Linked DNA regions of Callithrix jacchus. The protein of the gene in region 1 interacts with the protein of each later gene in a biochemical or structural test. Links are inferred from orthologs where the notes say so. Each region holds a gene or a part of one and is shown in the gene's direction. Other genes may lie near its edges.

Region 1 (3,920 bases):
CAAAGTGCTGGGATTACAGGCATGAGCCACTGCTCCCAGCCAGTGGTGTTCTGATAGACATACTCATCATCTGCTGTGGGATTACGGAAGAGGCACCCACTCAGTCTGGGATAGATTGGAAAGTCTTCCAATCTGAAGCACAAGTAGATGTTTAGAAGCAGAGAATTAGGGACTAAAAGTTCCAGGCAGAGAATACTATGTAGAGACTGCCAAATTTGGGCAACTGTAAATTCCTGGGTTTGGCTAGAGCATAGATAGCACAGGGCATGGGGTGGGGTGGCTGCCTTTATGGCAAATACTCCCACTTTTCCACTTTCTTCTCCCACCCAACAATTGCCAAGTCAACAGACATCTCACAGAAATGCCTTTGGGAAGGAGAAGAGGTGAGACTTACACGCATGGTATTGTAGTTTGATCAGATTGCTCTCCTCCCCAGAACTAGAGATCAGCTGTTTGAAGTAAACCTTCGATTGAGAAGTAAGTTTTGGTCTCCCATCCAACTACTTAACCAGGCCCAACCCTGCTTAGCTTCTGAGATGAGCAAGAAATCATTTGGGCATTCTGCAGGATCAGGGAAAGTTCAGGTGCAGTGTTTGGACTCAGTCAGGACATCAAGAGGACCTGAGAGAGAAGCAGAAAGAGAAGAGAGAGGGGACCAACTTTGCTTGCTCAGAAATTTTTCCTAAGTTCCAAGGTGTTCCAAGGAAGAAGGGAAAACATTCTTTTGCTACTTTCTGTATGGTGGTGATCATGCTATATTTTTTTTAAACAGAGTCTCGCTCTTGTTGCCCAGGCTGGAGTGCAATGACACGATCTCGGCTCACCGCCACCCTCATTTCCCGGTTTCAAGTGATTCTCCTGCCTCAGCCCCGGAGTAGCTGGGATTACAGGCATGAAACCACCATGCCTAAGTTTTGTATTTTTAGTAGAGACAGGGTTTCACCATGTTCCTTTGTATTCTTTTTCCTCTTAATGTTATTTTTACACACAACATTTCCATGGCATTGTTCATGTTCTTACTGTAAACTTAGTATGACATCATATGAGTATCCCATTAAAAATGCTTGTTCGTATATTTATTCATCCATTCAACAAATAATCCAGGTACAATCCTAGGTTCTAAGGATACAGTCCTAAATAATACATATTTTTGTTCTCAAGGAGCTTAATTTCATAGTATTTTATACATTACCAAATGATTGTGGGATTTTGTTTTTACAAGAACAAAATACAACATGAATACCTTTGCCCCCTCTCTTCTGGAATGAAATCTTGTTTCCCAGTGACAGCAGTGCCATGGTGCATCTGCTAGAGGGAAACCTGGTAACCCTGTCCTCAGGCTCAGATCCCACCACCCTTTCATGAAACAGTTGCTTTGGCCTATTTGATTACCTTTCCATTTCATAGACTTAATATCACCTGTTTTAGATGAGTACTCCGCTTTCGGTAAAAGGAAGGATCATTGTGGAAATCATTGAAGGAATGTGCTACTTACATGGAAAAGGCGTGATACACAAGGACCTGAAGCCTGAAAATATCCTTGTTGATGATGACTTCCACATTAAGGTAAACCATCATTGGTAGGCTTCCAGAAAGTTGGGTGATTTTAGTTTTGATTCTCCAATGTAAATTCATTCTTATAAATTGTAGAAGCTAAAGGAAGACCTAGCTCAGCTTATGACTGGTGGTGATGGTGCCGAAAGGCTCTGCCAGTGTTTGGAAGGAAAGATGCAGGTGTGATGGGATCCGGAGATAACTGTCAGGATAACTCGTATCTTTCGGGAAAAAGTGGAATTGAATGGGGTAGGTAAGAAGACCTCTTTCCTAGATTCTGTTTTTCTCCTCTGTTAGACTTGAGATGGAAACGTTCAGGGGTTGCCTTTTTCATCCTGGAATGGGCCACTGGCACCATGATTTTCCCCAGGAAATCTGTGTCACCAAGTCTCCCCTCCTCTGGAAATGCAGGGGAATGTGAAGATGTGTGCAGAAAATCCTTAGAGTTCAGATGTGGCCTTAAGATTGAGATAAGCAGTGAGTTGATCATTTTGGCATCAAAAACCTCTACTTTGACATTTTGTTTTATATTTTTATTTAATTGTTTACTTCTGTCTGTATTTTGAAAAATCAGTCTCCAGCTGGGCGTGCTGGCTCATGTTTGTAATCTCAGCACTTTGGGAGGCCGACGTGGGCAGATTACCTGAGGTCAGGAGTTCAAGTCCAGCCTGGCCAACACAGTGAAACCCCATCTCTACCAAAACTACAAAAATTAGCTGGGTGTGGTGGTGGGTGCCTGTAATCCCAGCTACTTGGGAGGCTGAGGCAGGAGACTCACTTGAACCCGGGAGGTGGAGGTTGCGGTGAGCCATGGTCACGCTTCTACACTCCAGCCTGGGTGACAGAGCTAAACTCCATCTCAAAAAAAAAAAAACTTTGACCACCTTCTTTCCATTGTAGTAAAGGGAACAAGGGAAAAGGATTTTTCTTTGGTTCATTTAAGGGCAGGACTTAGCTAGGGGTAGCGTCATATCTAATTGGCTTTCACAGCAAGAATCCAAGCACTGGCCTCTGAGAGGGGAAGCGGAAGGGGAAGCAGCACTCGGTGCGGGGGGGCACTCAGGAGCTGCTGACACACGGGCCTCTCTCCACCAGCAGGTTCTGCGTCTAGCACTTTGTCCTAGTCTTGGGCAGATTTTTATTCCCGTGTCTTTTAAAAAAAAAAGCCATGGGAATAAAAATTACTCATTCATAACCTATCTTGAAATTCATGACTTTCCTCTTATGTCGTGGCTTAGAATCTGTGCATTTTTGGCAATCACATGCCACAGCTAATCCCCACGTGCCTGCTTGGATCCCTGGAGGCAGAAGTGGAACTGACACCCTTGTTCTCTTCTTAACTATATGGCTCTGTAATTTTGCCCCGCCACCTCTGTTCTTGTTCTGTATCTGACCTTGGTATTTTTCTCTCTGCTTTTTTGTGTGTTTTTCTCCTCCTTCCCACCCCATCTTCCCTTAGGTTCAGGCCACGACTCAAAACAAGCAACACTGCAGTCCTTATCCTCAGTGTGTCTTTGGGATCCCTAGACACTCGCATTCATGGGCCTCTGGACGCCATTTGGGGAAATAGAAGGTGTAGTACTTAGCCACTGTCTGCTACATAAATGTGCAGAGAAGCAAATAATCATGTTTCCCCTAACCCCCAGAAATAGTTGAAAACCATATGCAGAGTCAATGGGGAATTAGGATAAATATGTTTGCTTGTTACTGTTCTTATCAGAAATGTCTTCTGCTTTTCCCCTCCCATTTATTGCATAAGGAATGTGATACCAGAATTTCATGTAAACAATTTCTTGGGGGAGATTTTACAAATGGCTGGCTAGACAGTTTCTGTGAGTCTATTGCAAAGTCACTGTTTCTAACCTGCCCAGTGCAACCATTTCTGGAAAATTTACCATATCTTATGTATATTGAATAAACCCCAAATTTAAAGTCAAATCTGATTTGCTTGTGGTCTTCACCAAACAATCACAGTGGCTCGTTCTCTTTTGCAGATTGCAGACCTCGGCCTTGCTTCCTGTAAGTCGTGGAGCAAACTGTCTAAAGAGGAGCACAATGAGCTGAGGGAAGTGGACAGCACCTCCAAGAAGAACGGCGGCACCCTCTACTACATGGCACCTGAGCACCTGAACGACGTCAATGCAAAGCCCACAGAGAAGTCGGATGTGTACAGCTTTGCCATAGTACTTTGGGTGATATTTGCAAATAAGGAGCCATATGAGAGTAAGGCATTAGAAGAGTACGATTTTGATATGAACCAACACTGTTACATGAAATAATGGCTTCAGTGAAGTCAGTGGTGGTTTATAGTTGTTTGTTCTTTTAACATCAGTCTTACCTGCTCAACTGTGAGTTCCGTGGGAGCA
Region 2 (4,683 bases), on another chromosome or scaffold:
TTTGCTGTGAGATTTTGGCTAAGCCAATTGACCATTCTGATTACACAGTCTTTACACATGCAAAATGCTAATACAGTTATATCAATGAAGATACATTGTGAGAAATACATCATTGTGCAAACAAAATAGGGTGTACTTATACAAATCTAGATGGTATAGCCTACTACATACTTAGGCCATAGAGCATAGCCTATTGCTCTTAACATTGTCATATATGGAGTCTGTTATTGACCCAAATGTTGTTATGCAATGAATGACTGTAGTAATACTCGCTACTTAGTAAAAATACCGTCATTAATGGTGTAGTAAAATGGTAACTGGCATAGTAACACTGTAAATTGAATACAATTTTAGAAGGTTTTGAGGAGGGAGGTTCAGAACTGTTCTCCATTGATTTGCTTACAAAGACATTTTCATTTTCCACCAAAGGTTTTAGCTGTGAAAACTTTGGCAGAAATAATATTTTAGGAGTTTTTCCCCCTGTACTGTCAACTAAGTTTTAGTAAGCACATGACTTTCCATTTGTATCATCCAACTGATTTTAAAATGAATCAATGAATGTATTTATTGACTGACTGGCCCACTTCACAAAGGAATGTGAGGAAGGACACTCAATTTGACATCCCTGTGTTTCTCTATATTTGGGTCATGCATTTTGTCTTGCTTTCCAAATTGAAAATGTGGTGGATGCAGTAGATTGGCCTTTAGTATCAGCCCTTCCCTCATTTAGTATACCTTTTCCTGTTTCACAAGCTGGAAAGCTACACGCTCTAGACATCCTTGCTGCTAATATTCTGCATGTGAAATTGGTCTCACCAATTGCACACAACAGAGCAAGATTTGCAGGTGCTGTTTTCATGCTGCTAGCAAATGCAGCTGTCGAGACCACGGTGTTTTGCAGCAGTGTTCCAGTGTCCTGTTGATTGTTCTGTCGGGTGTTGAAAGGAAGCTGGGGACAAGAAATGCCAACTTCCTGACGCCATCTTCCTGATTGTGGGCAGGAACCAGTATGGCACTCTTCTCCAGGTAGTCATCCGTGGATATTCAGCCTTTCTCCAGCCTTTCCAATGATCTCTAATGTCTCCAATCCCCACTGACAAATCCCTTTCTGACTAGGAGTAACTAACTAGCTGAGTGCTGCAATGAAATCCTGACCGACAGATTTGTAAGCTCTTCTTGGGCAGGAACCCTCGATATAAAGCAATGAACTTGCCTTTTAATGGAGTGAAGCCGAGGGATAAACAAATAAGTGAAAAGTTTTAGTAAGATGGTGATATGTAAAAAGTAAAGTTGGTTAAGACAATGGGGAGTGCAGGAGATGAGGTGTTGCCGTTTTAATCAGATAGGTCAGAGAAGGCTTCCTCCTAGGGTGATTTTTGGCCTGACTCTTTGGCATGTCAATTGTGTGCAAGGCCCTGGTGGAGTTACCGTGTTAAAATGCAAATATCCAATTACTCCATTACTTAGATATCCTCTAAGTGATGCTACTGTTGTCCAGCTCCCCGCGATTGAATGTTTACCCATAGTAAACATGGCGGGAAGAGCTTCAATCCGACCCTCGAACGCTCAATAAAAATGGCGACGGCACTTCCTGTGCTTGCCCTCAACAAAGATGGCGTCAACACTTCCTGTTTAAGGTTTTCGCCTTTAACAAAGATGGTGCTTACGATGCAGGTTCCCTAACAATCAGGATTCCGGTTGCAGTTTTTCTCCCCCGCCCCAAAGATACGTGGTTGCAGACGTAAGTAACAGGAATCCATCTTTTCTTGAAAGTCCTGCACTGTAGCATCTGCGACCTGGGCCTGCGGGGGCTTCCCCGCCCCCCAACTTGCTCCCCATTTCCGATCCGGGCCAAGGCTGGGTGGCTGCGGCAGTGCCGGAGGCCCGCTCTCCCCTTGGTCAGCTCTTAAGTTTATTCCCAGCACTCCCTCTTTAGCGGGTCGAGTTGCCACAGAAACCGCCCATAGTTCTTCCTGTTGATAGAAGGGTTTCAGCGGCCGAGGCCGAGAATTTTTTAAAAAGTTACCAATGGGCGCTCACGGCCAAATGTGAACACCTCCCTTCTTCACCTGTCACCTCCCGAACTTCACAGGGTTGCGAGGGGGAGTGTGGGATTGGGTGTCGCCCAGCAGTAGTACTGCCTGGGGGTGTCTGAAGCCGCATCTGTCATCCCTACCTCCCTTCCCTGTCATTTATTCTTCACTGCCTTACACACAACCAAGCCACAGCACACTGGTGCAGCGGTGGTGGAACTGCACCTTCAACTCGTGCCTGACTACTGACCAGTGCTGGATGTGAGCTTTTTTTTAAAGAAAAAAAAAATCCCATAAAATGTCCCATGCAGGTGTGGCCACGATAATGTGCTACAGATTCTGAATTCTTAGTGGGAAGGAATGGAGTTTGTGACTGTATATTGTGTAAGTTTTATTGTAGACTGGGCACAAAACAACCTTTTTCTTGAGGGTGATAGTGTAGAGGACTTTAAGCAAAAAGAGCCTTAAACTCTGTACCTGCTGCTGATTTCTGTCCTGCACTCCTATTACTGATCAGGTTTTGCAAATACTTGCGGTCAAAAGGGCACCTGCGTCCAGTGTGGCAGTTTTTGCCATGGTGGTGGTGCAGGTCTGATGAGGGCAATGTTAAAAACACCATTTCTTCCCCAGCTTGTTAAAACTAATGGTGCTCTGTGATCTTCAGATAAAAAGTGCTTTTTCAGAAGGGTCTCTGACCCACTTTTTTTTTTCTTCTTTTTCTAAATTTCTTTATTGATTGAGCCGGGACCCCATTGTGCTAAAAGCAGAAACAGAAAAGATGATTCATTTTCGGTGTTGTTCATTATGTTAGGAAACGTTCAAAATTAACTTGGCTTCACCCGTGTATTAAATATGGCACTCTGCTACGGTCTGAAGATATGCCTGACCTGAAGGAACTTACATTTCATGTCTGTAATTTGAGCTGTGATTTCGGCTTTTTCCAGGGAGAAATGGAGGCCAGAGACAAACAAGTGCTCCGCTCACTTCGCCTGGAGCTGGGTGCAGAGGTATTGGTGGAGGGACTGGTTCTTCAGTACCTCTACCAGGAAGGAGTCTTGACGGAAAACCATGTTCAAGAAATCAATGCTCAAACCACAGGCCTCCGGAAAACAATGCTGCTGCTGGACATCCTACCTTCCAGGGGCCCTAAAGCATTCGATACATTCCTAGATTCCCTACAGGAATTTCCCTGGGTCAGGGAGAAGCTGAAGAAGGCAAGGGAAGAAGCCATGACCAGCCTGCCTGCAGGTAGGGCTCAGAAAGATCACTTCGAAGCAGCTCCAAAACGTTGGAACTATGCCCTTTGGTTTTGTGTTTGTTGGTTGGTTTGTTTTTGAGACAGTCTCGCTCTGTTGCCTAGGCTGGAGTGCAATGGCATGATCTCAGCTCAGGGCAACCTCCACTTCCTGGGTTCAAGCAGTTCTCATGCCTCAGCCTCCTAAGTAGCTGGGAATACAGGCATGTGCCATTGTGCCTGGGCCAATTTTTGTATTTTTAGTAGAAATGGGGTTTCATTATGTTGGCAAGGCTGATCTTGAACTCCTGACCTCAGGTGATCCACCCACCGCAGGCTCCCAAAGTGCTGGGATTACAGGCATGATCCACCATGCCTGGCCAGAACTATGCCCTTCATATTTGAAGTTGAGATGTAAGGCAGGACAAGGGTCAGCAGTTGATGAAAGTGGGTAAGGAGTTGGGACTGAAGGGACATGATATTGGAGGCATAGGATCAAGAGGTGGCATTAGGAAATGGTGGGAAGGAAGAATGAACCGTGACTGGGAGGTGAAGGAGGGGGGCTCAGAGAATGCATTTAGAAATGCTTCCAGGGAAACCTGGCATGTCACTTGGGAAGCATGTTCCCATCAGAGAGCCAGGTCATATCTCAGCCGTTGGCATCAGGAGCCATTTGGAAAGCGCAGATGGAAAGCAGGCATTCGGCCTACTGACAACTGATTTGTGAGGTGCCAGAGCTACCAGCTGGAAAAGGTCAGATTCATGGAGGAGGAGATAGCCTCTAGGAAGGCATGTCCTGCACCTGTCCCCTGGGCTGTCCTGTGTGGCCAAAGGGGATTATGTTGAAGGCTGACTTGGTTTGTTTTGAAAGGTTATTCGTTTAAAGTGTCCTTTTTAGTTTAGCTTAGTTCAGACAACTGGAGTATTTAATTTTATGGAAAGCAATAGTTTGGGGAGGGTCTCAGTTTGATCTGAAGGAGAATTAGAAGCTGGAGAAGAGAGAAACAGTTCTGGTTCTGTTAGCCTGGCTTATAGCAGGAAGAATACATGATATAGAAACACTTGCTTTTTCTTAACCTCCCTTGGCTCTGTTTTACAAAGATGAAGGAGCAGAGAACTGAACTTAAACATTGAAAAAAAGAGTAATTGAAAGTTGACTTGCACGTTTTTAACAAAGTTAGAGAATCAAGGTTCTCTGGGGTTTTTGATAACAGTGATAGAAGTATTCTGGTTCAGTGGGCCCCAGACTTTGTGGTTGCTGTTTTTTAAATACTGATTTTAAAAAAATGAATACTGATAATAAGACCACTTTTACTGTTTTTGTTTCACGGACCTCATATTTTGACATATGTCTGAATACCTGATCAGCGTGAGATAGTCAGCTAACTTTAGGAAGACCTGGCAGGATTCCAGTGG

Evidence for each region. The genes of interacting proteins can lie anywhere in the genome.
Region 2: the proteins of RIPK1 (region 1) and CRADD form a complex in vitro, tested with the Homo sapiens proteins (2 studies listed by BioGRID). The link is inferred for Callithrix jacchus from reciprocal best matches to the Homo sapiens genes RIPK1 and CRADD.

Annotation. Positions count from the first base shown.
Region 1 is NC_133505.1:27,558,195-27,562,114, reverse strand, and holds part of RIPK1 (receptor-interacting serine/threonine-protein kinase 1), read left to right. Parts: intron 1-1,428; coding exon 1,429-1,566; intron 1,567-3,548; coding exon 3,549-3,777; intron 3,778-3,920. UniProt on the Homo sapiens protein: Serine-threonine kinase which is a key regulator of TNF-mediated apoptosis, necroptosis and inflammatory pathways.
Region 2 is NC_133510.1:96,739,987-96,744,669, forward strand, and holds the start of CRADD (death domain-containing protein CRADD), read left to right. Parts: upstream 1-1,643; 5' UTR 1,644-1,898; intron 1,899-2,133; exon of another isoform or gene 2,134-2,294; intron 2,295-2,977; 5' UTR 2,978-2,983; coding exon 2,984-3,281; intron 3,282-4,683. UniProt on the Homo sapiens protein: Adapter protein that associates with PIDD1 and the caspase CASP2 to form the PIDDosome, a complex that activates CASP2 and triggers apoptosis.